Mus musculus: one gene and its partners. The protein of the gene in region 7 interacts with the protein of the main gene of each other region in a biochemical or structural test. Links are inferred from orthologs where the notes say so. Each region holds a gene or a part of one and is shown on either strand. Other genes may lie near its edges.

Region 1 (4,121 bases), on a different chromosome or scaffold from region 7:
CACATCCTACAACGGCTCAAGCAGGTGAAGGGGCTTGCAGGGCAAGTCTGACATCCAGAATTTGATTCTCAGAACCCACATACAAGTAGAGAACCCACTCCACATGTGCCATGCCATGTGCCCCACCCCACATCAAACACAAAGTAATAAAGCACTACTTAGAAGTTAGGCAAAAGACGGGCCGCTCGCACCCAAACAGCTGTGCTGCACAGGCAGGCATCTCCTGCCTCTCACTCTTGTGTTTTAAAATGATAATTTATTCTTTTTTAGACATGCATGTGTGTGTGTGTATACTGTTTTATACACGGGGTGTTTTTCCTGCATGTATGTCTGTGTACAATGTGTATGCATTACCCACAGAGGCCAAAAGGCAGCATTAGATACCCCAGGACTGGAGTTAACAGATAGGCTTCCATGTGGATGTGTAAGCTGAACTTGGACCTTTTAGCCGCTATACCATCTCTCCAGCCCTTGCCAGTCACTCCTATCTGAGAAACGGTGTTGACTTTGTGGTTTCCTTTCAGTATACAATGAGCTTCACGTTTAAAACAGTATTTCCCTTTTTCTCCCATTTAAAAAAAAAAAAAAACTAATTAAAAGTAAAAACTGGCTGGCGTACCTGTCTTAACTCCTGGACTTCATCCTTTAACGCATACACCGTATCCACGAGGCTCCTGGAACAGGAGAGCGAGTAAGCACAGGAAAGGCCAAAGAGACACAACACAGACGGGCAGAGCCTCCAGGGTGGAGCCCCCCTAGGTTCCTCAAGCTAACCCCAAGCTTAGACTGTCACCCATCTGAGGGGCTGCACCCCAGCCTCCGGCAGACTTTAGAGATCGTGCCACCCATGGGATGGTGGGGGAGCCAGCCAGAACAGAATAGAAAACCATCTTATTTATTTTCTATCACTATCTGCCTGAGATGGAGTGGGGTGGGGGTGGGGAGCCAGCCATAATGGAAGAGAAAAGCATCTTACTTTTCCTCTATCACTGTCTGCCCATTGCTCTTGGTTTCTTCGACTATAATTTTTTCTTCTTCTGGAAGCAACACTTGTGGAGCAGATTCTTTGCGTGAACCTGGTCATTAGAAAGAGAAGGCCCACGTGAGTGCCACCTGAGGGCAGGAAAGGACACCTACTTCACTACAGTCACTTATCACACAGCACCAGTGATTGCGCAGGAAGACCTTTCACCACTTTCCTCCAGCTGTCTGCTGAGTGTGGCCAACCAAAACACTACAGAGCAAAGGAAACAGCAAAGGCAAACTAGGCAAACTAAGTAAAAATCGCCTCTTTTGCGAATTATTAAACTCTCTTAAGTACGTTAATCGCTAGCTAACAGCAAGTACGCTAAAGGTCTGTCCACACTGCACTCAACACACAATCGAGGTTTAAACCATTATAGCGGAGCAGCAACGCTGGAAAGTCCAGACCGGGAAAGAATGCATAATTCTTGTGCTTATAAATGAAAAAAGTCTGGCAATTGAAAAAAAGTTTCAGAGCTGGAGTGGTAGCTCAGTGTGAAGGGCTAAGAGTCACAGCTAAAGCGTCAAGAAAAAGCTGTACAGTAGTAATGGCTTTTAAAACCCTGTAGCACTGTAACACAATGGTTTAGGAGAGGTGCGGTTTACTGACTGATCACCAGATGAAAGCATTCTCAGCCCCTTGAGACACACAGCTTCCAATGGCAGCGGGAACAGGCACATGGTCCTGGCACAGACGTTGGCTGGTAACCACCTCATGTGTCGGACGCACAATGTGCTGCAGACACTGGCCTTGAAAGGATGGGTACCAGGAAGAATTACGCCATGTGACTGATTATTCTCATTGTTTTTGCGCACCACCACCAGGTCCGCACTGGAGGAAGGACGGGCTCTGCATGAATATGGACGCCTGCTGAAGGACGGGCTCTGTGTGAATACAGATGCCTGCCGAGGGCTGTGCTGTCACAGCTCTTGAGGAAAAGCATGTGACACGAGGCAAGATGACTGTGCACAAGGGGTTAATTTGCTTTTGTGTTTCTGGGGTGCCCTTTGTCTGTCTTTCTGAAAGCATATCAGATTTTAAGGAGCACTTCTTGTGCACCCTCGTTGGCATGGAAACCCTAGAATGGTGTTTGAGAGAGAAAACTGTGAAGAGCAGCTTTTCATGCAATTTAACCCGAACCTGTGCTCTGAATGCACTGAGGTGAGCCCACTGCTGTCTAAGCTTATGAAATGTCCCTGGCATGTAGGGACATATAGCTGTACATCAGGCTAACTATGGGGCCTGGAAGACTCTGTGTATCTGCCAAGCCTATTGCACTGGAAGGTACTCAATCAAGGCCAGAATGACAGAGACTGGAAACACCTTGGGGAGTTCAGGAGTGGCCATCAAGCCAGGCCTGCCAGGCCTATGTCACAGAGCACAATTTTGTCAGTAAAAGGAGGCCCTGTATATGGTGAGGTAGTCCAGCCTTGACTCCCATGTGAGTAGGTTGTCAACATCCTAATATGCTCGGAGTATACTCTTTGTGAAAGACTATCCCAAATGATAGCCACCCCACCCTGGAGGGGTTGCAGCTACGTGCTCTAGTGAGGACACACCACCTATCTTTCTCTCTGTGTCTCAAGTCCTGGAGATGGTAGGCTTTAACATATAGTCCTAGGGAGGGACATATTTTAAAAACCAGCAGCAGGCTGACAGTGTCAACCCCCACCCCCAGGAGGGTGCAAGTGACAGGCAGATGTCCTTCCTGGACAGCCTCTTTGATTTAGCAGGAGCCACTCTGAGGCTCGTTTCCTATTGAGCACTGAGGGACACAGGTCACACAAAGAAAGCATGTTTACGCATGCCTCCCACAGGAGGGCAGGTGTCTTTAGAGGAAGCTAATGCATTCTGAAAGTGCCCAAAAGTGAGGACCAGAGAAGTGCAGGCGTCTGCGATGCTGGACCCCAGCTCCTGGGGGAAGAAGGGGATCCAGGAAAGAGCACTTGGGATGGCTCTCCAGGCTTCCCGCTGTTACCCTGCAGCCAAGTAGTATGCTTGGGCTGAGTGCTGATGACTCTGTTAGTCTTGGTGACCACCCTGTCATTAAACTTACTATGGGCTTGAGAAGGCCCGGCGGGTGAGGCCCGGCGAGGCCTCGTCACCATACCAGAGCAGTGCGGTCCGCGCACTTCCTCTCAGCTCTTCCAGTCTTTTCTCGCTGGAAAATCTGTTTCCAGCATTAAAGCTTTCAGACTCTGTAAGAGACTGAGGGCTGCTCTACACTTACCAAGGACACTTTGCTGAATGAAGGTTGACCTTTCAGTTAACCATCTCTTACTAAACGTAGTCCTAAATAAAAGCTATGAGCTCCAGTAAGTAACGCAATAGATCTAAGGGACTAAACTTCATGGCAGCTGTCAGTTTGAAAACACATGACAGGGTCCTGGACATGAAACTGCTCTGTGCACAGGGCACCAAGACCTCAATCAAAGTCTAAGACTGTGCTCTGGGTTGAAGGTATAACTGCTCCAGCTCTGAGACAGGCAGAGGGAACTGCTGTTGAGCCTGATAGTGGGTGACGGGCATGTAACGCAGACTGCTCATCTGTACAGCAGGCAGACACCCGTCAGGTCACCATAAGCCACCCATCTTTCAACACAGCATGCATTTCTAAAATGATTTTTTAAAACGTGTAGCCGCCTTTCAACAAAACAATGAAGTATAGCAAGCCAGTTTGTAAGTTAGTGGTATCTTAAGGACAGCAGTTTTCTAAAATACATACTCAACACTGTAACTGAGACATTGCTGTGCTTAGTGGCATCAGAGCACAGTTTTCTTGAATACCTAGGTTGGAAAAAAGCATGTAACCACAGGACCAGAGAATGTGCTAGCACTTTACATGGTGCCCCATCACAGGAGCTGGCACAGCAGCACACTGTGAAGGCTCTGCAGCGCAGTGCAGAGCTGTCTTACACACTGTGGTCCCTGGGGCGATGGCGTCAGGATCTGCTGTTGCTTGCCTGAAACACTGCATGCAGACCTTTCCTGGAGGCTCACAGCGCACTTCTAGAACACTACAGGTTTGGGTAAAGCAATAAAAAAGGACTCCTTTTATTATAATTCAGTCTATCCAAAGCTCCTCATCTAAACATTG
Region 2 (4,290 bases), on a different chromosome or scaffold from region 7:
GATATAATTCCACTAAAGCAAGAAGTTTAGTGAGTAGGACTGCTGACAGAAAAATCAACTCTCTCAAAAATGATTGTTAACTGAAATTTAAATGTGTCATTTAAATCACCAACTGACCAATTAACATTTTTAAAATCCAGAACCAAATTGTGTCTTACAGAATAGCAACTATACTATTTTCTGGAATTCACTGGTACACTGTGTGTGAATGCTGTTCATTTATTATGAAAGTAAGCCATATGGACTCAACATTCAGAAGTATCTATAACAAGTTAAAAAATCTCACTGGATTAATGGTTGGTTGGCCAGAGGTACTAAGAAAATGTAGGCACATGGAGATGAGAAGATAATGTAACAGAACTGACTCTGTAGTAGCTTGAATGGCTGGTGTGAGATATATAAGTCACACTAGTACACAGCAGGATGGTTCTTTTTCACACCTGTTTCCATACCTACAATTACCTAAATATCTGTCAATCAAAAGTAAAAAGGCCAGAACTGTTGTAAAAATATATTATCTTGGCATCAAAGATTAGCTAATACTCTTGTTAAGGCCTATAATATACAACTGATTTTTTAAAGTATGAACTACTATTAAGAAGTAATTGTAGGCACTGTTGAAGCATGACAGCTGCCTGGCCACAGGACACCACATTTCAGAAAGAAAACAGGTAAAACATTTAAAAGGACTATACCTCAATCCTTAGTTCCTAGCAAATACTAGGAATGCCTGTCCAAGTTCCACTTAACAGATGCTTGCCACAACTAACCCTCCCCCCCAGTTTTATCTTAAACATATTTCTGTATTTAGAGATAATTAAATATTTCTCAAATCATCTTTTTAATACTAAAGGAAGTTTTATATGAATTAAGGGCTGAAAGACATCAGTAATGACACTACTGAGGAATGAACACAAGCACAATGGGAAACAATGCAAGATAAATGACTACATTTCTTTTTTTTAGCAGGGGAACATAGATTAAGTGAATGCTTTCAAATGACAAAAGTAAAACATTAAGTTTCACTTTTTACGTGATGCCTGGATTACCTATGACAGCTGATAAAATACTAAAACCTTTTTAAAAGGGGTATTACCAGCACATTTCCTCATCAGAAGCATTTATATATACAGGGTCCCCTCTTCCCCCTCTCTCAACCCCCCCCCCCCAGCTCCTGAAACTCACTATGTAGATCTGGCTGCCCTCAATTCACAGAATCTGCCAGTTTCTGCCTCTCAAGTGTTGTGATTAAAGGTATTTGCCAGCCCCAACTCCCAGTAAGTCATTTTAAAGTCTAGAAAGTAGGTGGCTTCCAACTACTATCTATAATTATCGATGCTATTTTGAGTTTCATCCATTTGTCAGGCATATACACAGCACTGCCTAGAGAAGCAGACCCTACTACCCAAGCTACTAGTTACATACTGCTTTACACAAGATTAGTGAATCTTGTTTAAACTGGAAAGTGCTACACAAAAATAACTCTTAAATGGTTAGCTGAATTCTCACCAAAAGAATCACACTGTTCAAAATTAAGACTACACCAGCAAAGATTCTAACTGGCCCCACAGATGGTTAAAGTAACATATGTACGTCTCTCATCTTAGTCTCTAAGATCATAGTAAGTGACATTTGCTAATGCTGTTGTTACAATTTAAAAATAAAATGAAATCTACTAACAGTGGGTGTGGTGGAGGAGAAGCACAAGCTCACAGTTGGATACTGAAGCAGAAGACTGTGAAAGAGAGGCCAGCCTGAGATACGGAGTAAGACCAGCTCCAAAACTAAACAAAAACTCCCGAACTAAACTATGAATAAATCAGGACCAAGGCTTTTCTAAACTACTATATAAAATGATAAACTATTTTATGCTCTGCCTTTCATCTTTATGCTAAGACATTAACAAATGAAAGGTTGTTACACTCAAAGCAGAAGTGTTCAAAATTAAATTTCAAGTAGAAAGCAGAGTGTTTAACTGTTAAATGGTACACTGAATTTAGGTATTTTATCACATGTAGAGTTTGACTGGTTAGCAGGCTATTTAAGCATATAGAGAAAATCAATGTTGGTTAGCCAAAGAGTATATGCATTGCAAATATAATCATCGACCCCAAGGGAATAAGCTGTTGCTTGAAAATGTCTGTTTATCTACTTCAAAAGCAAAATGCTAAAGTTTTCAAAGGCCTGGGATTTTAGCCAGGGCTCCCAGTCACTTCTCTGGGTTCAGCACACAGAGCAGGAGAGCTCTGATACGACACACACGTTAAGCATGCTCATATTGAGCACGAGGAGCTTGGGGTTTGCCCTGTCCTCGGCTCTGGGCGACATTTATATTTACAAATGCTAGTCTCTGTTTGCAAGCTAACCAACTAGCAGCAGGGTTAGTCTGTGCAATGCAAATGGACTAGTCTAGATGCAACCCAGTCAAGGTGTGCATGTACCTTTTTTGTCTCTTTTTAAACTTTTCTTCTTCATACCTTGGTAGGGAAGAGTTATTTCAGTAAATGCACATTTTGAGATTAAAAAAAAAAAAGACTGAACGTGTAACTGTGTAGGCACAAATATGAAATGCTAACATTTAACATGATGTAGTGACTACAAACCAACTTGGTAAATCTGGTTTGGAAATACTTAAGCCTAAACCCTGAGACCAACAGTAACAGTCAGAGAAATACTGCACCACAGCACTGTGATGCCACTGCTCAACCAACAGTCTCTCCAAGTCTCTTAGAAGGCAGGCGGAAGTGAACGATGAAACAGAAAATTCTAGTTTCTGGAAAATATTAAGACCAAGCTGATTTAATCAACAACTCGTTTCTTTAGCAATGAGTTCTTTCAGTAATATGATAAACTCACTCCATGTGAGAGTGTAATACGTCGAGCAGAAAAGTTACTCTACAGGACTGCCTTTTCAGGAAGTCATCTCTCGGACTGTAAACAGCACTTAGCGTACAGAAGGACTCATGAGTGGCCATCACCTCCAGTTCTGTAAACATGGTGCTGTGAGGGGAAGCTGTGGGGTTCCTTACAAACCCTGTGTTCTGGAATACCGTGAGAGGGAAAAGCATTCCCCTTGCCCACAACCAGGAAGGGAAGGAAAGCAGGGCAGACGTACTGTTTGATGCACTCTGGTATGCCGACATACTCCATGGGAACAAGCTCTGCCAGCTCGGCCAAGTTAAAGACGTATCTGATCTTCTGACTGAACTTTGAACTGGGGAAGAAAACACAAAACAATTATCTCCGTACTTCTGACTCATAAATCTGACATTTAAATACAAGATACTTTTTTTTTAAATGGACACTCAGAAAATTACCTGATAAATGGTCGTGTAACAGCCAGAAGTGTTCGGATAAACCAAGAGGGGTGCACAATGATTAGAGACTTAAGGTTTTTCCTTAATCTGAAGACAAAAAGAAAAAAAATTATACAAAATTTCTACAAATTATAGCACAAAAAAGTTAGATATAAATAAGTATAATGCAAATTTGTACAAAATAGATGGAAAAAAAAGTCACCAACAATTTTCATTCAAGTGTAACATTCTAAAGACAAGAAAATACATTCCTGAGTTCTAAACATCCCTCCGATGCTGTGAAATAGAGTTTATTTAATTTGTCCAAGTTCATGGCTTACTTTGTCTGCTTTCAAATGCCTGCTAGCATTTCCTCCTCCGGCAAGGAAAGCTGATACTGAACATGAAAGAAAGTAAACCATCTTTTTCTGTTCAAATCTAGGGAACAAGTGGCATTTGCTTCTAATATCATGAAAAGCACTAGCTTGTAAGGGGGATGGGCAGAGAAAACCAAAGGAGTGAGCCAGGAGTCAGACTCAATAACACTTTGAAATTTAAAAATGTTCACTATAAAGTAAAAGCTTCTTTTTAGATATTTGTATGTATTAAAAAAAAAAACAATCACAGAAGATAGTGAACATGTTTTCCTAGGGGAAAAAAACAAACCCTATTAACAAGTCAGGGTAAACCACTTGAATCAACGAAGGCAACACTGAACCATTAGCAAGATTAGAGTTGCTTGATTGGTGTGGACAAATGAGTCTCAAGATAACACATTTTTAGTGATTGTTTTAAAAAACTATAGCTGGAAACCTGAGAGATGGCCTAGTTGGTCCAGTGCCTGCAGTGTAAGCATGGGGACCCAGGTCTCATTCCCCAGAACCCAGATAAAAAAGAAGAGAATGGTGTGGTACATAATCTCAGTGCTGGAACTCTCTAGGTACCTGGCTTATCAGCTCGAGGTCTGAGCTAGAGACTGTCTCAGCAACAAAGA
Region 3 (4,290 bases), on a different chromosome or scaffold from region 7:
CCACCACTGCCCAGCCATAATACAGTATTTTAAGCTCAAAGGCCTTTTAACATTTTGACAGCAAGTTCAAACACACACCAATTATTTCAAGACACAGAGTTGGGGGTCATCAGCCTGTCACTCACTGATTTTGTATGATCTGGCCGAGGGGCAATGACGGGAGGAGCAGCGTCTTCATCATCATCATCTTCCTCTGTCACTACAGCTGATGTCTCTGACCCCTTGGTGTTCAGCTGCATTCATCACAGCAGCAAAGAGAGGATAAACCAATAACATCAAAGGTTAACATGGGGCTCCCCTATAAAAACAGTCTTAAAAGCTTATTTCTTCAATAGCTAATATAAAAACTACCAAACTTCACTGGTTCCAATACAACCAATTAAAAAGTAAATGAATATATACGGTGAGTATCATTTCAGTGGGAGGGGACTCTGCTAATGACTGATCCTGAGGTCTGTGTATGGTGTGACTGCTCTACCACTGAGCTACGTTCAGAGCTCCCGAGTACACTGGGGCACTATTCCTGCCCTTTACATAAGCACACACGGTGCTCTGTTAAGTAAGCAATCTTCTTAAGACCAAACTGAAGGTTCTCTGGACTCTGTAGACATAAACCTCATTTTGAGGAATTTAAGAGATCCAGCTTCACCAGTTAACAAAGCAAGAAAAGGAGCTGACAAGTTTTGTTTTGTTTTTTAAACTATTTAGAATGTGACACAATTTACCACACTCAGAACGGTACTGGTAGGGGTTATGGGAGGAGAGACTATGCCATCCAGTTCACCATATTCAGGTTCAATCTGGAAACAGTGGAAGAGTAATTAAATTGCACTGGAAGCCATTATAAAGATTAAACTGCCCAACAAGCAAATCCTATTTACTTAATATGGTTTCTTCAATTAAACAAATGGCTAACTTTAAAAAAAGAAAGAAAGAAAGAAAGAAAAAACAAAGAGGTATTTATCTGATGGCTAATTTTACTTTATTTTTGGTTTTTTAAGATACGGTCTTGCTAGTCACCCAGTCCTTCAAATTCACAGTGATTACACAACCTTGGCCTCTTGAGAGTTGGGGTTGGAGACATGGCTACCACATTTACACTTGATCTTAGCCAAAAGGCAGGAAGCGATGGCTACCACATTTAACTATTTAAAGATGTATTTATTTTATGTATGAGTACATTGTTGCTATACTCAGACACACCAGTAGAGGGCAACAGATCCCATTACAGATGATTGTGAGCCACCACGTCATTGCTGAGAACTGAACTCAGGACCTTTGGAAGAGCAGCCAGCGCCCTTAACTGCGGAGTAATCACTCCAGACCCTTGTTTTTATATATTTACCAAGCAAATTAAAATAGACTTGTTCTAGGCAACTGTACTGGCTAGTTTTGTGTCAACTTCACACAGCTGGAGTTATCACAGAGAAAGGAGCTTCAGTTGAGGAAATGCCTCCATGAGATACAACTGTAAGGCATTTTCTCAATTAGTGATCAAGGGGGAAAGGCCCCTTGTGGGTGGGACCATCTCAGGGCTGGTAGTCTTGGTTCTATAAGAAAGCAGGCTGAGCAAGCCAGTAAAGAACATTCCTCCATGGCCTCTGCATCAGCTCCTGCTTCCTGACCTGCTTGAGTTCCAGTCCTGAATTCCTTTGGTGATGAACAGCAGTATGGAAGTGTAAGCCAAATAAACCCTTTCCTCCCCAACTTGCTTCTTGGTCATGATGTTTGTGCAGGAATAGAAACCCTGACTAAGACAGCAACCTAAATCAGAATGCAAATTATAATAAATTATTAACTTACTGCTGGTGTTCCAGAAGGGAAGCCATCTTTCTCTGAATGTGAAACAGAAAAGATATGTATTACCAAACTGAGAAAGAAAAGTGAACTGGGAAATCACACACACACACACACAAGCAGACAGGGTTTTGCTATGTAGCCCTAGCTGACCTGATATTTGCTATACAGTCCCTGCTAGTTGTTGTTTCTCCCCCTACCCCCATCCCTATTTTAGATTTTATTTATTGCATGTATAAGGTTGGGCGTATCCTTGGCTGCTGTGGAGCTAGAAATACAGACCAGTATGGCTTTGAACACACAGAGCTCTGTCTACCTCAGCCTGCTGAGTGATGGGATTAAGGTGTTTTCCAAAACGCCGGATGGATGGCAAAGCACTGTCCTGTCAGAGCTGATTTATGTCACAAAGTCACTTCCACTACAGCCTACTCACAACAACCATCTCAAGCATGACCTTGTCTATACATTTAGACGCTTTGCCTTCCATTGCTGGAAGTCATTTAAAAGCATCATAGAGGAAAAGGTTAAATAAGCAAAGAGCTCAAACATCCACCAACTCTATTTCTGGCAAAATGATAAGGTTTATATAATCACCAGACATCAACACTCTCTAAAGGGCAGATTTATGCAGGAGAGAAGGAGCGACAACAGCTATACTTCCATTGTTGATTGTCCCAGAAGGAATCTTTTCTCACCACCGTCTGGGGTCTTACCAGGAGGAGTGAAACTCAGGTACTTCTGTTTCACAGTGTTGGAGTCGTAGAACTTCAAGACATCCAGCACTGCCTGAGGGTTCTTCTTCTGCTCGAGTTTGGTAATGTTGGAGGTCTGCAACAGCCGCGCCCACTGTTCTGGCATGCCCTAACCAAAAGAAACCCATAAATGAGTTATGGTTTAATGCTCGAATAAAAACATTTCACAGACCAATGACAATGCCTGCACAGCACATGTAATGGAAGGCTGTGAGCTGCTGTGTGGGTGATGGGAACTGAACCAGGTCTTCTGCAAGAGCAAGTGCTCCTAACTGCTAGGCTAGCTCTACAGCCGGTACTTACTTACTTTTGAAACAAAGTTTCAACTATATAGCTCAGCCTGGCCTGAAACTCTGAAAACAGTCTGAGTTCCAGTTGCCTTAGTTGCCCATAGCTGCCTCAGTGTTGGGATTACAAAAGTACAGTAGTTTTTATTTTGTTTTTCAAGACAGGGTTTCTCTGTGTAACCCCAGCTGTTCTGGGACTCACTCACTCTGTAGACCATGCTGGCCTCAAACTCAGAGATCTGCCCACCTCCCAAGTGGATTAAAACTGTATTCCACCATGTCTGGCCAAAAGGTAAACTTACAGTGAACTCTCCCGTAACAGCATCAAAGCCAACATGGATGGTGTGCTCAAAATCAGATGGGGGAGAAATCTCTGGCCGTTCTTTTTCTTTCTTTTTACTTCCTGGGGGATGGGGGAGAAAATTATCTCTTTAAACAAGGCTATCTATGGCACTTATTACTGTATTTGTAAGTTCTGAAACCAATTATGAATGAACTTATGATAGGAACTGATTGATATCGACATGCACCCTGCTGGACACAATTTACGGGCGCCACTTGTGAAAGCGACCATCTTTCCCTCCCTCCTCCTCCAACCTGATTTTCTGAGACAGGCCTCATTCTCCAGCCCACATTGGCCTCAAATTCAGGGCAATTCTCCTGTATAGCCTAAGAATATTAAGGTTGAATACATGAGCCACAATACCTGGCTTACACTTTTCTTTTCATTACAGTCTGTAAATATTACATCTTTAAATTACCGAACTCTCCTATAGTTGTACTGTAAAAAAAAATTACAACATTCTTGCAACATCAGTAACATTTTTTGCACATTCAAATACATCAATTCCTTCTCCTCCCCAGTCCTCCTCCTCTAATCTGTAGCTCTTAAAACCAAGGATCTATTTCTGGATGCTCTGCTCTCTTAAAATCATCTGTCTATCATTATGCCAATCCTGTCTATCTTGATTACTGTCATCCTTATAACAAACAATCAAAGTATAGTCTACGTCCTTTTTTTTTTTCTATATGAAAATAACAATGTTTCACATTTCTACAAAAAGCCTCCTAGGGCTGTGACAGGAATTGCATTAATCTATGAATCTACTTAGAATTTATATACATCTTGCATTCTGATCCATGGCCAACCACAAATCGTGATTGCTGGGAATTGAACTCAGGACCTTTGGAAAAGCAGTCAGTGCTCTTAACTACTGAGTCATCTCTCCAGCCCCCAGCCTGTTCGGTTAATTTTAAATACTCCTACTAAGAATTATTTCTCATTGTTCTTTGATCACTGTTTTCCTCTGATAATAATGTTTTCTTTTTAAATATCTATCTATCTATCTATCTATCTATCTATCTATCTATCTATCTATCTATATATCTATATATCTATTTATTTATTATATGTAAGTTCACTATAGCTATCTTCATACACTCCAGAAGAGAGC
Region 4 (3,414 bases), on a different chromosome or scaffold from region 7:
AGTAAAACAAATACCAATGTCTACAAAGTAGTAATGACCACTTAGGAGGCTTTAACAGAAAGGGGTTGGGAGGGGGTCCCACTCTTTCCTACATGATGAGAGAAAATGAGGGAGCAGGGCTGAGGGGAAGTCAGGCTTATGGCTTCACAAGGAGAAGGGAGAGGGCACTGACGTCCGTCCGTCCGTCAGAGGGAGTGTGAACTGAGGCACCGCCACTGGACCAGGTCCTTGCTTCTAAGGAATAATGGAGGATCCTAGAAAGACAGCCGTGAGGTGCTGCCGTTTTTTGTTAACTCTTCTGGGCGGCGAGCGACCCATTACTTCCCATAGAACTTTTTGTTGAGAAGGAAGATCAGGAGGTTGACATTCACTTTAGCTCTATCAAATAATTTCATAACTGCAACTCCTTCATACTGTAGCTGCAGCAAGTCCTGTTTAAAAAACAAAACAAAACAATTTCACCATCGAATCCAGAACAAGAAAAGGAAGGACCCCACGATCCAGGAGAGGAGAGGCAGGACTTCTGTGCCAGGTGTGAAATGGTGCAGCAGGTCAGACACACTTCTCAGTGCAGAGCTTTACGGGGCACGACTGCCCTGGGGCCAGCTACCCTGGGTGCTGGAGCAACAGGGAGCCTACAACTTAGTCTTAGGTTATCATTTAGTTTATAGTAAAAGATTCTAAACACAAAGGGAAATTAGGAGTTATGTTCAGTTAAAATACATTTAAAGCTTATTTCAAAAGTTACAACGGTAGGGGCCGCTGGAGCAGTGAGCAGGGCATGGATGAGTGGGTGAAGCATCATCCTCAAGAGGCAAAGGGGAGGGTGGAGAGGGGAGAGGGGAGATGGGATGGGATTTGTTGAGGGGTAACTGGAAGGGGGATATGATTTGAAATGTAAAGGAATGATTAATCAAAAAGAAGTTATGATGGCATTTCCCCATTGTTTCAGATGTAGGTTAGAGGTTTTAATACACATAGAAAAAGTAAAGGCATTTCAATTTATGAAATATGCCAATGAGAATGAGAAATGAAAATGAGAATGACCTGTAATGTCTCAGTACCTACCAGTTGCTCTGCCCCCGCCCCGCCTCCACCCCTGGCACTTTTGCACAGGCTGACCGAATACTCCTGACCCCATGGTGGGATGACAGGTATGTGCTGCCTGGCTCAGTTTCTACAGTGCTGAGATCAAACCCAGGGGTTTGTGCCTGCCAAACAAGCATTCTACCAACAGAACTACATCTCCAGCTCTGCAGTCTACTGGAGTCCTTTGTTTTTAGGAGACTGAGCCCAGGGTCTCTTGTAAACTGAATATGACTCCAACTTCAACTCCGCATGAGAAAGGTTGTCTAACGTAAATGCAAGTACAACAGGAGGAGCAACCATCCAGCACCGAGCCTGTGTGTGGCCTCGGTTAGGCACCTTACACACTATTTTTTCAAGGCATTACAAAAACCTTATGAAGCATAATTATCTGAACTTTAGAGATGAGCTGCTGAGGCTCAAAGTGTTGGGTGGCAAGGCCATCAGGAAAGAGCTGGCTCTGGGGTGATCGGTATGATCGGCTGTTTTCTAATGTTCTCTGCAGTCCTGGCGGCTTACGACAGCACTGTCGTCACTACCACTAAACTGGTGAGTGGTGGTGAGGAAGGGCATGAAGGGACCGCAGTGTCCCAAGGATGGGGACCATGGTGTGTCCTCTCTGCCTAGCCTAACCCTAACCCCAGGCACCTATGAGGCAGACCAGTTCCTGAATCCGAGCAGCAGTGTACAGTCTCCTTAGCAGACTGGTTGGCCTGCACTGGCAGTGAAACCAATGGAATAGGGACTGTATGCAGTATGCTTAGTTACAGTGTGTGAAGAAATCCTTTCACAGTTACTGAATTAATATGCGCTGAGAGACTACTGGTTACCAACAGGGAGGTACAGATGACTAAGACATACTGTCTTAGGAGTTCCCAGTTTTGGGGGTGGCAGGGAAATGAGTCAGCTCGCACTGTCAACAGAGGATGTCTCAGGGCTGCTGAGTCAAGGGGAAGGGCCATCACTGCGGCTGTAGGGGGGCAGCGCGGGCCAGTGCTCACTGTTTGATGGAGGCAGGAGGCAGGTAGGGAGCAGAGGGAGGGAGGCTGATTCCAGGAGGGGAGAGCATCCTGTGCAGAAGGCGGAACGCTTGCTCACAGAGAGGCACCAGCCTGGTTTGCTAGACCACGGCAGTGGCAAGCAAGGCAGGGTGTGGCAAGACATGGAAGAGCAGTTTGGCAGTAGAGCATGTGTGAGGCTCAAAGTTTGATTCTCAGCACTGCAAAAGAAATGAGCCAACCAGGCTGAAGAGGTCACTCACTGGTTAGGAGCACTGACTGCTCTTCTAGAGGTTCTGAGTTCAATTCCCAGCAACCACATGGTGGCTCACAACCTTCTGTAATAGGATCTGATGCCCTCTTCTGGTGTGTGTCTGAAGACAGCTACATACATAAATACATAAATCTTTAAAAAAAAAAAAAAGAAAAGAAAAAGAAACCAACCAACAAAAACCGTAAGAGGTCTACTATGTGGTACACACATAGTTGGGTCTGGACACCGCTCATGAATCCTTTCAATTGTCTGATTATTTCTGGCTTTGGATTTTGAAGATTGCTTTCACTATACAGGCTGGCCAGGAATTACAATGAAGTCCAGGCTGGCCTCAAACTCTGAATCTTCTTGCCTCTGTCTCCTGAGAGCTGGATTACTGGTGCGTGTCACCATCCTTATTTGGTACATTTTTTAATGTGCAAAAATAGATATTTAGGCAGCTCGGCATGGTGGCACATATCTATAATCCCAGCATTTGGGAGAAACAGGAGAGTCAAGTGTTCAAGGCCAGACTCAACTACATAGTGGATTTGAGGATAGTTTGGGCTACATAAGATTCCTCCCACTCCCCAAAATCAGGTATTTGGGGTTGGAAATTGAACTCAGTGGGAAACAGCCTGCAAGCACAATGCTGAGGGTCAAATGTAAGCACCAGAAAGAAAAAAAAAAGAAACTTAAAAATAAATTAGGGGCAGCTACGTTATAAAACGGCTACAGAGTTAATTTTGAATTTAAAATGTGATTCAGAGTTACAACGAGGCAATGTGTTCACAAATTTTAGTAATATCCCTAACAAAAGGTATCCATATCAAATAAAAATGAAAACAAAGAGAGATTTCAAGTACAGAGCAGCAAAGAATCTCTTACTGCTAACACTGGTGGTTAGGTACCTCCTTCAAGGCCAGGGCACCAGCTCATCAGGGCTGGAGTGAAGATTCAGGTGTCAGAGCACTCTAAAGCATCCGCACAGGACGACTCTCAGAGGACACAGACCACACCCAACTCCCCAAGCCCTTAGCTTCTCCCAACTAGGCGCCCACCGAGCTCTCTGAATAC
Region 5 (5,090 bases), on a different chromosome or scaffold from region 7:
TTGGTGTTTATCGTTGTTAATTTTATTTTGGAGATAGCATCTTTCAGGCAGCTCATGGCAGTCCTCTTGCCTCAGCCTTCCCAAGTGCTGAGCTTACAAAACTGCGCCATCTTGTCCATCTCTCAAACTGCTCTTGCTATACCAGTCCTACTCTACCCTTAACCTAGATAAGCAGACATGGGGGCTGGAGAGATGGCTCAGCGGTTAAGAGCACTGACTGCTCTTCTGTAGGCCCTGAGTTCAAATCCCAGCAACCACATGGCTCACAACCATCCGTAATGAGATCTGGTGCCCTCTTCTGGAATGTCTGAAGACAGCTACAGTGTACTTAGATATAATAAATAAATAAATCTTTTTTAAAAAGCAGCTAAAAAAACTAAATAAAACTTTAAAAAAGTAGATAAGCAGACATATTTTTATTGTAACTTGACACACAATCACCTCTCCCTTCTTCCACCATAATGTAAACAAAAGTTTTGATGGGCTGTGGGACTGGCCCTTAACAACTTAGCAGGTACATGGATTTTTCCTTTTTTTTTTTTTTTCCAAGACAGGGTTTCTCTGTGTAGCCCTGGCTATCCTGGAACTCACTCTGTAGACCAGGCTGGTCTTGAACTCAGAAATCCACCTGCCTCTGCCTCCCAAGTGCTGGGATTAAAGGCATGCGCCACCACTGCCCCGGTCCAAATTGATGTTGTATTTTATATTTATATTTACTCCATAACCTGATCTTTAAACTTGTGATCCTCCTGCCTCAGCCTCTACTCCCTAGTAACTGGGATTATAGGCCTATACCCATAAATTCAGCTAAGATCACAATTTGTAACATCACATATACTGGTGCTAGAAATTTGCCCTTTTTTTCTTATGGGAGTTCCCTTAATCTTTTGCTGAATTTATCCTCTGAAAAACAAGAGCCAGATCCCTGTATATTAAAGGATGTTGAACACACACAGGGCCCTCTTTATTTCCCAGGCACATTCTCACAGATGAGCACCGGCCTTGGTAACTCATTTGATCCTCAAAACAATCCTTGGAGCAGAAGGTGATAACTTTTTTTTTCAATGATGAAAAGCAGAAAGATTCAATAACTGGCCCTGGGTCACACGGGAATATATTCTGGAGACAGGATTTAGACCAGGCTGGTAAAGACTGAAATGTAAAGAAGCTATTGCAGTTGACAGTCACCCACAGGAGGTGGACCACATGGAGAGGAACAAAAAAGCTTTAATTTGATATAAAAGCCAGAGCTCTCATGTGGTACCTTTCCTGACTTTGTTTTCTCTTCCATTGTATATGGGGGGAGGAAGTGAATTAAAAGAGCTTTTGTGGGGCTAGAGAGAACGCTCAGCTGCTAAAGGGTAGGCTCACAACCACAACGAGCTTTGGGAGGTGGATGTGATGCACATGCCTTTAATCTCAGTGTACAGAAGGCAGAGGTAAGTGGATCTTTATAAGTCTAAGGCCAGCCTGGTCTACATAGAGAGTTTCAGGCCAGCCAGGACTACATAGTGAAATTCGGTCTCTTGGGGGGAAAAAGCTCTTGGGACTGGAATGATGGTTAACTGTTTAGAGGGGGACGAGGGTACTCGCTGCACAATCACAAGAACCTGAGTTCAAATCCCCAGCACCCATTCAAAAACCCTCTAAGCCCAGCACGGAAGAGGGCAGGGGCAAGAAGACAGCTGGGGCTTATTCCTTTGAATAAGAGACCTCTCTCATTTCAAGAATAAAGTGGAGAATAATCTAGGGGGTTACCCTAACATACTCGAATGCAACACACTACATGCCTGCTCTAACACATGCAACATGGAGATTTTAATGCCCCTGTAGCCTTGGCTTGCTCTGAGACCTTCAGCGAGTCACATCCCCCTGCAACCTAGGTGTCCTTTTGCACACTCAGCTCTAAGCTCAAATATGCGTGCTGCAGGCCTGTTAAACACAAGGCAATGTGGTCATTCTTGGGAAAAGTTCGTCATCAGCCTAGGCTCTTACAGAGGGGCTGTTGTTAGGGATCAATGCAAAGTAGACTGGAAGAAAGCAGGCAACCCAGCCCGCCCTGACAGACACATGCTCAGATAAGCACATCCTCTCTGGCCTCTTCCACCCTCTTTTTCCTGCCTAAGTACCGCGTGGCTCCAGCTGCAGGGATGGGGGTGGGGGTGGGGGTGGGGCACAGCTGGCTCACCTCTGTCCTCTCTCAGCCCCAGCCCTGCCAGCAAGAAAATAATAACCCGCTCCAGAGCTGGCTGGACTGGTTCTCAGGCTGGAGGAGGGTGGAGCCCAGACCTGGCAAGGGACCCCACCTGGAGACCCCTGGGATCTCAGCATTGGCAATTCTTTTCCTAAAGCCACCGGGCTGCATCGGGTACGTCGAAGTCCCTGGTCTGTTTGCTAACTAGTCTGTCTTCCTCCCACGCCCCCGGTTGAAGACCCCTGCCCACTACAACCTTCTCACCTCGTGGTCCAGACTTAATTGAGATCCGACTTAAGCTGGGGTCCCTCCTGGCCTCTCTGGCGCCTTTTTCCTTCTTTCTGCAGGAGAGATCTCACCTGGCAAATAAAGTAAGTGTCACGTCCTACCTGGTAGGGGCTCCAGGACCTAGGCATGCGGCGGTCTGAGTGCCACCGCCTCAGGCTGGGTCCTGCACCCTTGGGTCTCAGCAGCCCCACCTCCTAGCTCTCTGGTTTCACGGGCTGGGAGTTCCCCTGCTTTCCTCTCTCACATTCCAGGGGTCCAGGAATTCTCTTTCGTTTGCCCTCCTCCCTCAGACCCAAGAGACTAGCCCCCAGAATCTGGCAACCCCCGGAAGTTCCTTCTTACCTGCACCAGGAATAAGCTTCAGCCCCTCTCGGGGGCCATGGCAGCCTACCAACCAAGCACCGAGTCAACGCCCAGTCAGCCAAGCTGGTCTCTTGTCCCGGGTTGAGAGGGTTAAGCCATAGGCCCCTCCCAGCCTTCCTTAGTCCCTAAAAGTTTGCCTCTAGGATTTAAAGGACTAGAAAGCCTTGATGGTAGAAAAGCTAAAGGCCCTTTGAAGGGATTGTAGGGACAGGAGGAAACCAGGACTGAGCGTAGTGGAAGCGGGGGTAGAGCTAGGGGGATGGACGGGCACGCCCCCAGCCCAACCCCTCCCCGGCCCAGCCTGGAATGTCCTGAAACCAGTGAAGTCTGGCTGTTTAGAAGAGTAATTTCTTCCAGACTGCAGCTGTTAGGGGAGTGGCATGGGGTGGGGGCTGGGGGGGGGGGGGCAGGAAGGGAGGGCGAGTTGAGAAAAAAGATAGGAAGAGAGGAAAGAAGGAGAGTGTGGGGTGTGTGTGTGTGTGTGTGTGTGTGTGTGTGTGTGTGAGAGAGAGAGAGAGAGAGAGAGAGAGAGAGAATGTGGGGTGAAGTGTGTGTGAGTGAGAGAGAGAGAGAGATATGGGAGGAGAGGAAAAAAGATAAGAGAGAATTAAAGTCCCAGTAGGAGAAAGAAGTGCTGTGCAATTGCCCTGGAGCGTTCCCCAGGATGCTCCTATTTGCAGCCATCTGCCAGAGAAGGGTCTTCACTCTGATTCCCTGTCTGTGGTGAAGACTACACACTGGTGTTCACAACATCCTTCAAAAGCTGATGGAGCACGGCTGGAGTGAGGGTGTTTGGGGGGTGTGAGGTATGTGTGCTGTTCCCGGGTGTCGTGTGGCTTAGGGCAAAATGCACAGAAAGAGGGAAGGCTCAGAGGGAGACCCAGTTACAGATCTAATAAGCAAGCACCTTTGGGTTGCACACTGAGGTCTATACTGGGAGCCTGTAGAGCCAGGGAGGAGGGAGCACTGTCAGAGAACAGCAGAGGCATGGTAGGATAGACCTTTAGTACAGGGAGAAGTCCACAGTGTTTAATAGAGATATTTTGTCTAGGAGGTCTGCAGAAAGCACTGCAGGGACTTTGGACAGAGGCCACGTGGAACACAAACACACAGGGAAGCAAGTAGAAAAGAAATGACTTTGGTAGACACTGAGAGGTCAGCTTGAAAGCCACTAGGAGAAATCTAAGTCAGAATGACACATACCTGCGGGCCCATGTGTTTGCAGTTTTTACAGAGGAGCCAGGTTACTGGATTAGTCTAGACACCCATCAACGGATAGATGATTGGATAAAGAAATCGTGGTGTATGTTCCCAAAGGGGTTTTGGACAGCCTTGAAGAAAAGCATAATTATGTCATTTTTGAGAAAATGGATAGAACTGGAGGTTAAATTAAATAACCCATACTGATAAAGACAGCTACTATGTCTCATCTCATTTGTGACACCCCCCCCCCCACGACACACACACACAAACACATACACACACATACATGTTGCTGTTGATGAATTGTTTTGTTGGTGATAGCAGGGATTGAACCTAGGGCCACTTGCCTGCTAGTTAAGCCCTGGACAACTGAGCTATAAACCACTCCCTCCTGTAGGCACACTGTGTGCACAGTGTCGAGATTATCCTCTACCTGGTACCCTGCTCTTCAGACAGGGTCTCTCATTAATTAGCTCAGGCTGAGCTTGAGTTCACTTCCTTTCACTTCAGTGTCCTGGATAGCTGAGGTGACAATGTCTCACTATGTAGCTCTGGCTGGCCTGGAACTTGCTATGTCAATCATTTTATTCTCAAAGTCACAGACATCTGATTGCCTCTATTCTCCAGGGTGCCAGGGTTAAAGGTGTGTCATCACGCCTCGCTATTTATGACTTTTATTAGCTTTTATTGAGCTACCTATTCTGGGTGTGCATGTTTTTACACGTCACTGACATTGCAATAAATATATAGTTAATATATATAATGTAATTATGATGTTTGTAACATGTGACAGATATGACATATGTGACAGGTCAAGGGGGCAATGAACACACACAACTCCTGTCCGTGTGGTGAGGTAACCCAGGCAGGGGCTCAGAGGCTAGTGTGAGGATGTCATTGATTCAATTCATTCTGCCAACTACAATGACCCTCAGAGATCATCCAAGAGCTGTGGTGCTCAATTTGTGGGTCAACACCCCTTTGGGGGGGGTCAAAAAACCTTCCCATAAGCATCAGTTATCAGATATCCTCCCTATCTGGT
Region 6 (4,290 bases), on a different chromosome or scaffold from region 7:
AATCCTGACTGTCCAGAGACTTAAGGGGTCCTTTGTGAAGGCTCGCAGCAGGACCATGGGCCCTTTGGGGAGTTTTGTTTGCTTCATTTTAGTTTAGGGCTTTGAGCCCTCAGCACCATTCAGAAAAACATTCTTTGATTCTAGCCTAGCTGTGGAGAAGGCTCTCTTAAAAGGCACAGATGGCACACAGGACGGAAGACCCCTTTTAGCTTAGAGAAGGAACGGAGGAGAACAAACAGTACCTGTCTGACTCTGTCCAGACGGTACAGCCTTGCTCTGACTGCTCAGGACAGGCCGCTCCTCTGTCCCTGGCAACTCTACTTCTTCAGCTGCCCCCTGTTCCAGGGGCTGTGCTTCTGGTTCACAGGTCTCCTGTGCCTCTCTCTCACCTGCTTTCATCTTTCCTAGCTGCAGCTGGGTGGGGGATCTATTTATGACATCTCTTTCTTCCACACTTTTGTCCCAAGATGTAGGTGATGCATTCTGAGCTACAGTATTGGAGACCGTACCGATGACTTCTGATACCCGAGGTGGGAGAGTCACTGAAATAGGCTCAGATATGTTCATGGAAGGAGATTTGCTTAGCTTCCGCCCAATCTTCGGAGAGAAAGCATAAACAACCTTTTCTGTAAATGAAGATGGCTTAGAAGACTTGTCGTCAGTGGGGCTCAAGTCCAGGGTGAAAAACGGACTCAGTTTCTCCTGGACTGGAGATACAGGTTCGGAACTTGCGGTGCTTCCTGGAGTCTGTGACTGGCTACCACCTGCTTCTGCATCCTTCTTACTGGGACTCAGTTTATCCCTGGTATAACCTAATGAATCCAGAAAGGAAGCACCACTCTCCAGACACTCTGACTCAGCTTTTGGAGGACTACATTGAAATGACATGGGATCAAAGTCCAGACTGGCCACTCCGATGTCTGGTGGACTCAAGTCAACATCCTCAGCCGAATGAGGAGACACAAGAGCTGGAATGTGGAGCAGCCCCACTTCCTCTTCACTCTCGTTGTCGTGGGGCAGATTGTCATAGGAATTGCACCGGTTCCCCAGCACGTCGCCATTGAAAGAGGCAGAGAGCGCATCGCTGCTGGATCTGGGTCTTCTAGGTCGGAACAACTTGGAATCACCTGGTAAAAATGGACAGCAATGTCAGAGCATGGCTGTCACAGGACACAGCACCACCACTAGTCACCTATCTAGTACAGCAGGAATCATGCAACTTCAATCTCTCGTCCCATGAACTGTCTCTGGGTGTACAAACATCAGTTACATTTGTGGCAAAAGAACTTCTAAATAAAACACTAATTAAAAAGCACATGAACTACAGCTGATCCACAGCCTGGGTAAGAAAATGGCAAGAGACTCTTGGATTGTATGCCAAACTCAACATTGACAACTGCTATGACTTTGGGCAAATGTTCCTACTTTCTTTGTGTCTTATTTTATCACTGGTCTCATATTTGACTTGCAAGGTAGAAGTCATCACTGAAAGTAGCACCTTGGGTATCAAATAGTAACAAAAGGTTGTTTATTATGGGGAAATATCCTTATGGTACCCCAGACAAGAAGAAATGATACTTCTTCCTAATTAAAAAGTATTTACACACATTTAATAAAGCACTCTATTCACACACTTAAAATCCTTCCTTCTTTTCCAATGAAAACAGGCTTTTCACTTTCCAAGCAAATCCAAGTGGCACAGCTTAGCACAACACTTGCTTTCATAAAGTCTGATTCTGAATTTTAACTTAAGCTGTAACCACACCTCCCTCCAGTATCTGCCAGGTGATGTTGGTCCTTTGGAGGCAGACTCACTTTAAGGTGCCAGGTCCAACTACTAATGACCCTTGAAGACCACCCATCATTAACAAATGAGTCTCAAAGCTGCTCCAGTTACCAAATCTAAAGGAAACAGTGACACTCACTTTTAAGCACTGACAAATATAAATGTTTGCTTTGAAACATTTCAGCCATTTTACATAAACAGTATTTGTTGCCAAAATACCACACCATATTAAAATATCCATGAGTTTTAACTGAACCATACTTAATGCTAATAGTACTGGAAGTGATATTTCACAGCCTTCTTGCTAAGTATATATTCATAACATTGCTGCCTCTGTGTGTTTTATGTAATCCATCCGAGGACACTTTAGTCTTACCGTCAACTGCATGGAGAGAAGTAAGGGACTCTTCACTTTTAGCTGAGCGGAGGGTTCCTTCTGCCCTGCCACCTAAATAATAAAAACCAAGCAGTGTAAAGCCTGTGATTGATTGTTAAGGACTATACAGTTAAAGGGTCTGGACTTTCCCTAGCAACACTTGAATCTCCAAGTGTGATGAGCTGTCCATTTCGCAGTCATATTCAGCTTACTATCCCAGTATGGAATGTGCTGCATCATTCTGTTTCCAGTGTGGGGAAAAAAAATAAAACAAACAACTTTCCAAAGCCTACGAACTTGAGCCCAAAGGTGAACTAAAAGATTCTCTTCTTATAAGTTTCCAAAAGACCAACTTGGTAACCTTGGGTGATGTCTTTACAACTCTTATTTTTACTCGTATGCACATGTTCATGTGAGTATGCCCCACGTGTATGCCAGGGACCGAGGAGGCCAGAGAGGGTAAGGGATCCCTCGGAGGAGTCTCTGCTGCTAGGAAGCAAACTCAGTCCTTTAGAAGAGCTTTCAGCCGGGCGTGGTGGCGCACACCTTTAATCCCAGCACTCGGGAGGCAGAGGCAGGTGGATTTCCGAGTTCCAGGACAGCCAGGGCTACAGAAAGAAACCCTGTCTCAAAAAACAAACCCCCCCCAAAAAAAAAAAAGAAAGAAGAGAAGAGAAGAGAAGAGAAGAGAAGAGAAGAGAAGAGAAGAGAAGAGAAGAGAAGAGAAGAGAAGAGAAGAGGAAAGGAAAGGAAAGGAAAGAAAAGAAGAGCTTTCAGCCACTGAGCCACTCCTCCAGCCCCTCTGATGACATCTTACAGTGGCTCCTTTCTTCAAGGAGGGTGAAAATAAAAGACAAAGAGACATAGAGAAGAAGGCCCCATGAAAACATGGAGTTGTGCTACTTAAAGGCAAGAGATGTCATAGTTTGGAGGCTAATTATGGGATGGATCCCTGGATATGGCAGTCTCTAGATGGTCCATTTAGCCTCCAAACGATGACACCATTGCATACACTAGCAAGCCTTTGTTGCAAGGACCGTGATATAGCTGTCCCTTGTGAGACTAGGACGGGGCCTAGCAAACACAGAAGTGGATGCTCACAGTCAACTATTGGATGGATCACAGGGCCCCCAATGGAGGAGCTAGAGAAAGTATCCAAGGAGCTAAAGAGATCTGCAACCCTATCGGTGGAACAACATTATGAACTAACCAGTACCCCAGAGCTCTTGTCTCTAGCTGCATATGTATCAAAAGATGGCCTAGTCAGCCATCACTGGAAAGAGAAGCCCATTGGACACGCAAACTTTATATGCCCCAGTACAGGGGAATGCCAGGGCCAAAAAATGGGAATGGGTGGGTAGGGGAGTTGGGGGGGGAGTAGGGGGGGACTTTTGGGATAGCATTGGAAATGTAATTGAAGAAAATACGTAATAATAATTAAAAAAAAGGCAAGAGATGCTGGGAGCCGTAAGGGGATAGAAGAGACAGGAGGGTGTCTTCCCTAAGAACTTCAAGTGACCACAGGCGAGGTGACATCTGTCAAACTGTTTCCATACACATTTGTGCTTCCAGTTTCAATTTGTAGTAATTAGTAACAGCAGCCCCAGGAATACTGGTTATTTTTATTGTATACATTAATCTTACCTGCTAAAGTTCCATGTCTTTCTGACCTGTTGATAGCAAGCACAACAAACTGCAGATACTCTGAGCTCTGTTTCTTATGCTCTCTGTGACCTTCCTAACCGTACCTTCCTGCTCTCCTCTCTTGACAACAATTTCTCTGAGTTCTTTACAAATCTCTTCTCCAAGTTGTTCCTCTCCCCAGCCTGCTCTCATCTCCTGAGAAAGGACTCTCAGTCGCCTTAAAGATCAGGTGAACTGTACCTTCTTCAACTCCCAAGTTGAAAGTTCTCTTTCCTGGTGCTGGAGAGCATGCTTAGTGGTTAAGAGCACTGATGCTCTTCAGAGGACCTGGGGTTGATTCCCAGCCCCCACATGGCAGGCAGCTCACAGCCACTATAACTTCAGTTCCAGGGAATCCATGGCTCTCCTCTGGCCTCCATGAGCACCAGGCACATGGAGTGTACACACACAAATGCAAACAAGGGCCGGGCGTGGTGGCACAAGC
Region 7 (4,290 bases):
GCGCACACCTTTAATCCCAGCACACGGGAGGCAGAGGCAGGCAGATTTCTGAGTTCGAGGCCAGCCTGGTCTACAAAGTGAGTTCCAGGACAGCCAGGGCTATACAGAGTAACCCTGTCTCAAAAAAACAAAACAAAACAAAAAACAAAATAAAACACAATGTCCAATATTATTTCTAAGAAACTACTTATTCACAGACAGTTCGGCTGGAGAGATGGCACAGTAGTTAAAGAACTCTGGACTGTTCTTTCAGAGGACTCAAGTTCAGTTCTCAGCACCTACATGAGGAGGCTCACAACCACCTGTAACTTCAACTCCAGGGGAGCTCTGGCCTCTGTAAGCACTTGCACTCCTGTGGACATGACACATCACACAAATAAAAATTAATAAAATAATTCATTAAGGAGAACAACAGGAATGTGTCAGGTATGTTGGATAGCATCTATCTTAGCCACTTGGGGAGGTTAAGCTTAAGTATCACTTGAATCCCAGACCAACTTGAACAACATAGTAAAACCTTGCCTCAGAAAAAAGGAAGACAGGCTAGAGAGATGGGCTTAGCAGTTAAGAGCACTGACTGCTCTTCCAAAGGTCCTGAGTTCAAATCCCAGCAACCACATGGTAGCTCACAACCATCCACAATGAGATCTGATGCCCTCTTCTGGTGTGTCTGAAGACAGCTACAGTGTACTTACATATAATAAATAAATACATCTTTTAAAAAAAGAAAGAAAGAAAAAGGAAGACAGCAAAATCAGAATCAGAACGCACTGAGCAGAGTCAATGGCAGCCAGAGCTATACAGTGAGCCCCAGTCTTCCAAAACAAAACAAAACCAAAAAAAAAGCATAAACAAACAAACCTTGATTTCCAAGCCTCATCTGCAAGTTGAACCTAAATTTTCTCTCTCATGGAAGATGTGCATAATTTTCTTCAGCTCTATTCCATAACTGATAACTCAGCCCACAGATGGGCATAAAGATGCAAATCTATTTCCATGCCAACAGAGACACCATTGATAAATAACTGACTTCGGACTATTTACTTCAGGAGGCCCACTTAAAAATTTACCCTACTGCTATTCTTTCCCCAACAATACACAGACATATAAAACACCCAGAAGCCCACTTTCTTCTTTTTTTTTTAAGGATTTATTTATTATTATAAATAAGTATACTGCAGCTGTTTTCAGATGCACCAGAAGAGGGCGTCAGATCTCATTTTGGGTGGTTGTGAACCACCATGTGGTTGCTGGAATTTGAACTCAGGTCCTTTGGAAGAGCGGTCAGTGCTCTTACCCATTGAGCCATCTCACCAGCCCCCTAGAAGCCCGCTGTCAATTCATCACATTAAATAAAGTCATGAAAGACTTGGAAATCGTGTTTCCAAGTAAAAACTCAAGACACCAAATTCCCAATGGCTATCTCACCTTACGAAATGATCCATATCATGTCTCACAAAGCCCCTTGTACCTTCAAAACATCTTCTGATTAATGGGCCAACTCAAAACTGTAGTTTTATTACCAAATTACATCCTTAAGTTCTCAGCCCTCAAAGAAACTTCATCTTCTTTCACGCACCTTAGCCTAACTTCACCAGCTGTGCCATCACAGAGGCTAACACTATGTTAACTATGTCTCTGAAGACTGACCTCAGGTTGCTCTTTTTTTTTTTTTGGTCAATTCCAAAAGATACGAGTCCCATATTAGATATACTTTGGACCCTTATAGTTCCTAAAATTACTCCCCTCTGAGCACTGAAAGGGCAAGTACATTTAACATAATTATACAAGCAACTCTGAATAAATATTGTAGCCCCAAACATGCTTTCCCAAGTATCACTCCAATAAGTGTCTCATCTAGTTATTGAATTATTCCTATCTCTCCTCTTCCCTTCTAAGGAGGAGTTAATAAAGCAATTACAGTGAGTGTCCCAAGACTTCAGGCATATCTGAACGCTCTTAGAAAAGTCTGCTCTCTACCCCTAAAATTAAGTGTGAAATGAAACCTCATCACTATTTAGAGAACAGCTCCACAAGGTAAGCAGAAACATTACTACTTTCTCTGAAATTATAAGGTCCTTATATTTGCGCCCCAGGGTCTCTAGGCTTTATTAATCAATGGCACAGACACAAAAAGTCACCTCATCCCAATGTAGGATGCACTTCTGCAAACTGACAGCCCATGCTTCATAACTTTCCAGACCTTCTTACAGACCCTGTGTCACCCCTTCTAACTTAAGACTCATTTTTCATCTTTTACTTTACTTACCTTTATTATCATCTTATTTTTATATGTATATGTGTTTTGCCTGCATGTATGTCTGTGCATCACATGATTGCCCAGTGTCGTCAGAAGTCAGTAAAGGGCGCTGGATTATAGGTAGCTATGAACCACCATGTGGGTGCTAGGAATTGAATCTTGAGTCCTCTGGAAGAGCAGCCAGCATTTTTAACTGTGGAGCCAACTCTCCAACCCCAGCTGTTCTATTTTAAAGTACAGGTAATCATGCATGAGAAGTCAAAACCTTTAAAACTGTCAAACAGTGGGCTGCTGTGTGTGGCATTTGCTGCCAACCATGACAACCTAAGTTCAACTTAAGAGCCCAACAATGGAAAAAGACCCCTTCAAGTTGTCCTCTGCCATCTACACATACACCAAAGCAGGACACAGGTATGTACATATAACACACACCCCACAAAGTAATAAAGGTAGTAAAATTTAATTTTTTTTAAAGGGCAAGACAGTCAAAAATACTGCAGGCAGGCCAAGTGTTTTCCAATGGACAGACACTACATTACAATCTTTTGCTAGTAAAAAGCCTTTATACTTACAGTTGGTACATATTCCGATGGGAATTTGTTTGTTGTGTAGGATATCAGGAGACATGTTTTACCAACAGCACCATCACCAACAACAACACACTTAATTGTCTGCATTTCGGAAACAGTTTTGTATCCACTTTTAATATTTCAAATTAGATCTTGTCCTAAGAAGAAATTAAAGACAATTATTTTATTGATTTATGTTTAAATCCATACTTTTTTCCCCTAGCAACAGGCTCAGCCACTCAAACCAGAACTAGCATTACTGCTATGACTGAAAACCTCTAAAAAGAAAAAATGGCAACTTGCTCAGAGCAGCAATTACAAGGATCCATTTGCTAAGTTTCTGGACCTTGTTGTTTTGTCTTAAGTATCAAAGTAGAACAGTGACCGATATATTCCTTTTATTTTTTTTTTTCTTCCCTGAGACTGGGTTTCTCTGTGTAGCCCTTGCTGTTCTGTAACTCACTCTGTGAGTGGCCTCAAACTCAGAGATCCGCCTGCCTTGGGCAAGGAAGGTGCTATAAAAAGAGTCTCGTGTGGTATATGAAGTATAGTTTGTGAAAGCTGCTTCAGTGTGAGCACACACGCATTATATGCAAGACCAATTGCAGCCCGAAGAATACTCTAAAAAATGACTCACTGCCCAGCCTTAGAGCTGCAGTAACTCAGGATATAGTAACAAGCAGCGCAGCCTTCGCCCACCCCCCTCAGAACTTGTGAGCAATGATCAGAGTGACCTCTAGTTCTCAGCAGCCATGTCAGCACCAGTTAGCCTAGTTATTACTCATGGCCTCAAGTGTTTCAACCTACATTTTTACAATGAAAATATCAGCTCTTATAACCAGTGATAAATTTTAAATTGTAATTATTATATGGGCTAGGAACATGGTTCAGAAGTACAGCATTTTCCACACAAGCCTAACAACCTAAGCTCAGATCCCCAGAATCAAATAAAAGTTAGGTGCAGTAGTGATAGATAGTGCCAGTAATCCCAGGGTGCCCCATCAGGAGGTTGGAGGAAGAAGCTTACAGCATACATGGTACACGAAGCAGTAAACAAGAAAACCCTGTCTCAAAAAAACAAGGTCAAAGGCAAGGACTGACATTCAAGGTTGTCCTCTGACCTCCACAAGTATACCAGAGAGTGTGTTCATGCATGCATGAATACACATCAACACAAACACGCATGCCATGCAAGCACTAACACACGTGTGCACACACACACAGAGTTTAGTTTCTCTTACTACAGTTTTACCAACTATCAATTACAATACATCAAGAATTTACTGTACTTAAAGATAAACTTTCCCCTCAAAAAAATTTTTTTAGATCTGTTGTATGTATGTTTTGCTCATCATGTATATGCCTATTGTGTGCCTAGTGCCCACAGATATCAGGAGAGACAGCTGTAAGCCACAACACTGGTGCTAGAATGGAACCTAGATTCTTTCTTTACAAATGTTA

Evidence for each region.
Region 1: the proteins of Cdc42 (region 7) and Arhgef7 form a complex in vitro, tested with the Homo sapiens proteins (2 studies listed by BioGRID). The link is inferred for Mus musculus from reciprocal best matches to the Homo sapiens genes CDC42 and ARHGEF7.
Region 2: the proteins of Cdc42 (region 7) and Bnip2 form a complex in vitro, tested with the Homo sapiens proteins (2 studies listed by BioGRID, with this or other methods). The link is inferred for Mus musculus from reciprocal best matches to the Homo sapiens genes CDC42 and BNIP2.
Region 3: the proteins of Cdc42 (region 7) and Pak2 form a complex in vitro, tested with the Homo sapiens proteins (4 studies listed by BioGRID, with this or other methods). The link is inferred for Mus musculus from reciprocal best matches to the Homo sapiens genes CDC42 and PAK2.
Region 4: the proteins of Cdc42 (region 7) and Iqgap1 form a complex in vitro, tested with the Homo sapiens proteins (6 studies listed by BioGRID and IntAct). The link is inferred for Mus musculus from reciprocal best matches to the Homo sapiens genes CDC42 and IQGAP1.
Region 5: the proteins of Cdc42 (region 7) and Cdc42ep5 form a complex in vitro, tested with the Homo sapiens proteins (2 studies listed by BioGRID). The link is inferred for Mus musculus from reciprocal best matches to the Homo sapiens genes CDC42 and CDC42EP5.
Region 6: of the proteins of Cdc42 (region 7) and Arhgap32, one has a biochemical effect on the other in vitro, tested with the Homo sapiens proteins (3 studies listed by BioGRID). The link is inferred for Mus musculus from reciprocal best matches to the Homo sapiens genes CDC42 and ARHGAP32.

Annotation. Positions count from the first base shown.
Region 1 is NC_000074.6:11,828,448-11,832,568, reverse strand, and holds part of Arhgef7 (rho guanine nucleotide exchange factor 7), read right to left. Parts: intron 1,077-4,121; coding exon 977-1,076; intron 675-976; coding exon 620-674; intron 1-619. UniProt on the Homo sapiens protein: Acts as a RAC1 guanine nucleotide exchange factor (GEF) and can induce membrane ruffling. Functions in cell migration, attachment and cell spreading. Promotes targeting of RAC1 to focal adhesions. May function as a positive regulator of apoptosis.
Region 2 is NC_000075.6:70,002,493-70,006,782, reverse strand, and holds part of Bnip2 (BCL2/adenovirus E1B 19 kDa protein-interacting protein 2), read right to left. Parts: intron 3,405-4,290; coding exon 3,318-3,404; intron 3,215-3,317; coding exon 3,116-3,214; coding exon of another isoform or gene 2,962-3,115; exon of another isoform or gene 2,784-2,961; intron 2,478-2,783; coding exon 2,442-2,477; intron 1-2,441.
Region 3 is NC_000082.6:32,041,343-32,045,632, forward strand, and holds part of Pak2 (serine/threonine-protein kinase PAK 2), read right to left. Parts: intron 3,240-4,290; coding exon 3,139-3,239; intron 2,659-3,138; coding exon 2,511-2,658; intron 1,836-2,510; coding exon 1,804-1,835; intron 234-1,803; coding exon 126-233; intron 1-125. UniProt on the Homo sapiens protein: Serine/threonine protein kinase that plays a role in a variety of different signaling pathways including cytoskeleton regulation, cell motility, cell cycle progression, apoptosis or proliferation.
Region 4 is NC_000073.6:80,713,515-80,716,928, forward strand, and holds part of Iqgap1 (ras GTPase-activating-like protein IQGAP1), read right to left. Parts: intron 432-3,414; coding exon 318-431; 3' UTR 1-317. UniProt on the Homo sapiens protein: Plays a crucial role in regulating the dynamics and assembly of the actin cytoskeleton.
Region 5 is NC_000073.6:4,161,635-4,166,724, forward strand, and holds the start of Cdc42ep5 (cdc42 effector protein 5), read right to left. Parts: upstream 3,072-5,090; 5' UTR 2,825-3,071; intron 2,665-2,824; exon of another isoform or gene 2,611-2,664; coding exon of another isoform or gene 2,584-2,610; intron 2,554-2,583; 5' UTR 2,459-2,553; intron 1-2,458. UniProt on the Homo sapiens protein: Probably involved in the organization of the actin cytoskeleton. May act downstream of CDC42 to induce actin filament assembly leading to cell shape changes. Induces pseudopodia formation in fibroblasts. Inhibits MAPK8 independently of CDC42 binding.
Region 6 is NC_000075.6:32,252,011-32,256,300, reverse strand, and holds part of Arhgap32 (rho GTPase-activating protein 32), read right to left. Parts: intron 2,235-4,290; coding exon 2,163-2,234; intron 1,128-2,162; coding exon 243-1,127; intron 1-242. UniProt on the Homo sapiens protein: GTPase-activating protein (GAP) promoting GTP hydrolysis on RHOA, CDC42 and RAC1 small GTPases. May be involved in the differentiation of neuronal cells during the formation of neurite extensions.
Region 7 is NC_000070.6:137,333,143-137,337,432, forward strand, and holds part of Cdc42 (cell division control protein 42 homolog), read right to left. Parts: intron 2,988-4,290; 5' UTR 2,938-2,987; coding exon 2,833-2,937; intron 1-2,832. UniProt on the Homo sapiens protein: Plasma membrane-associated small GTPase which cycles between an active GTP-bound and an inactive GDP-bound state. In active state binds to a variety of effector proteins to regulate cellular responses. Involved in epithelial cell polarization processes.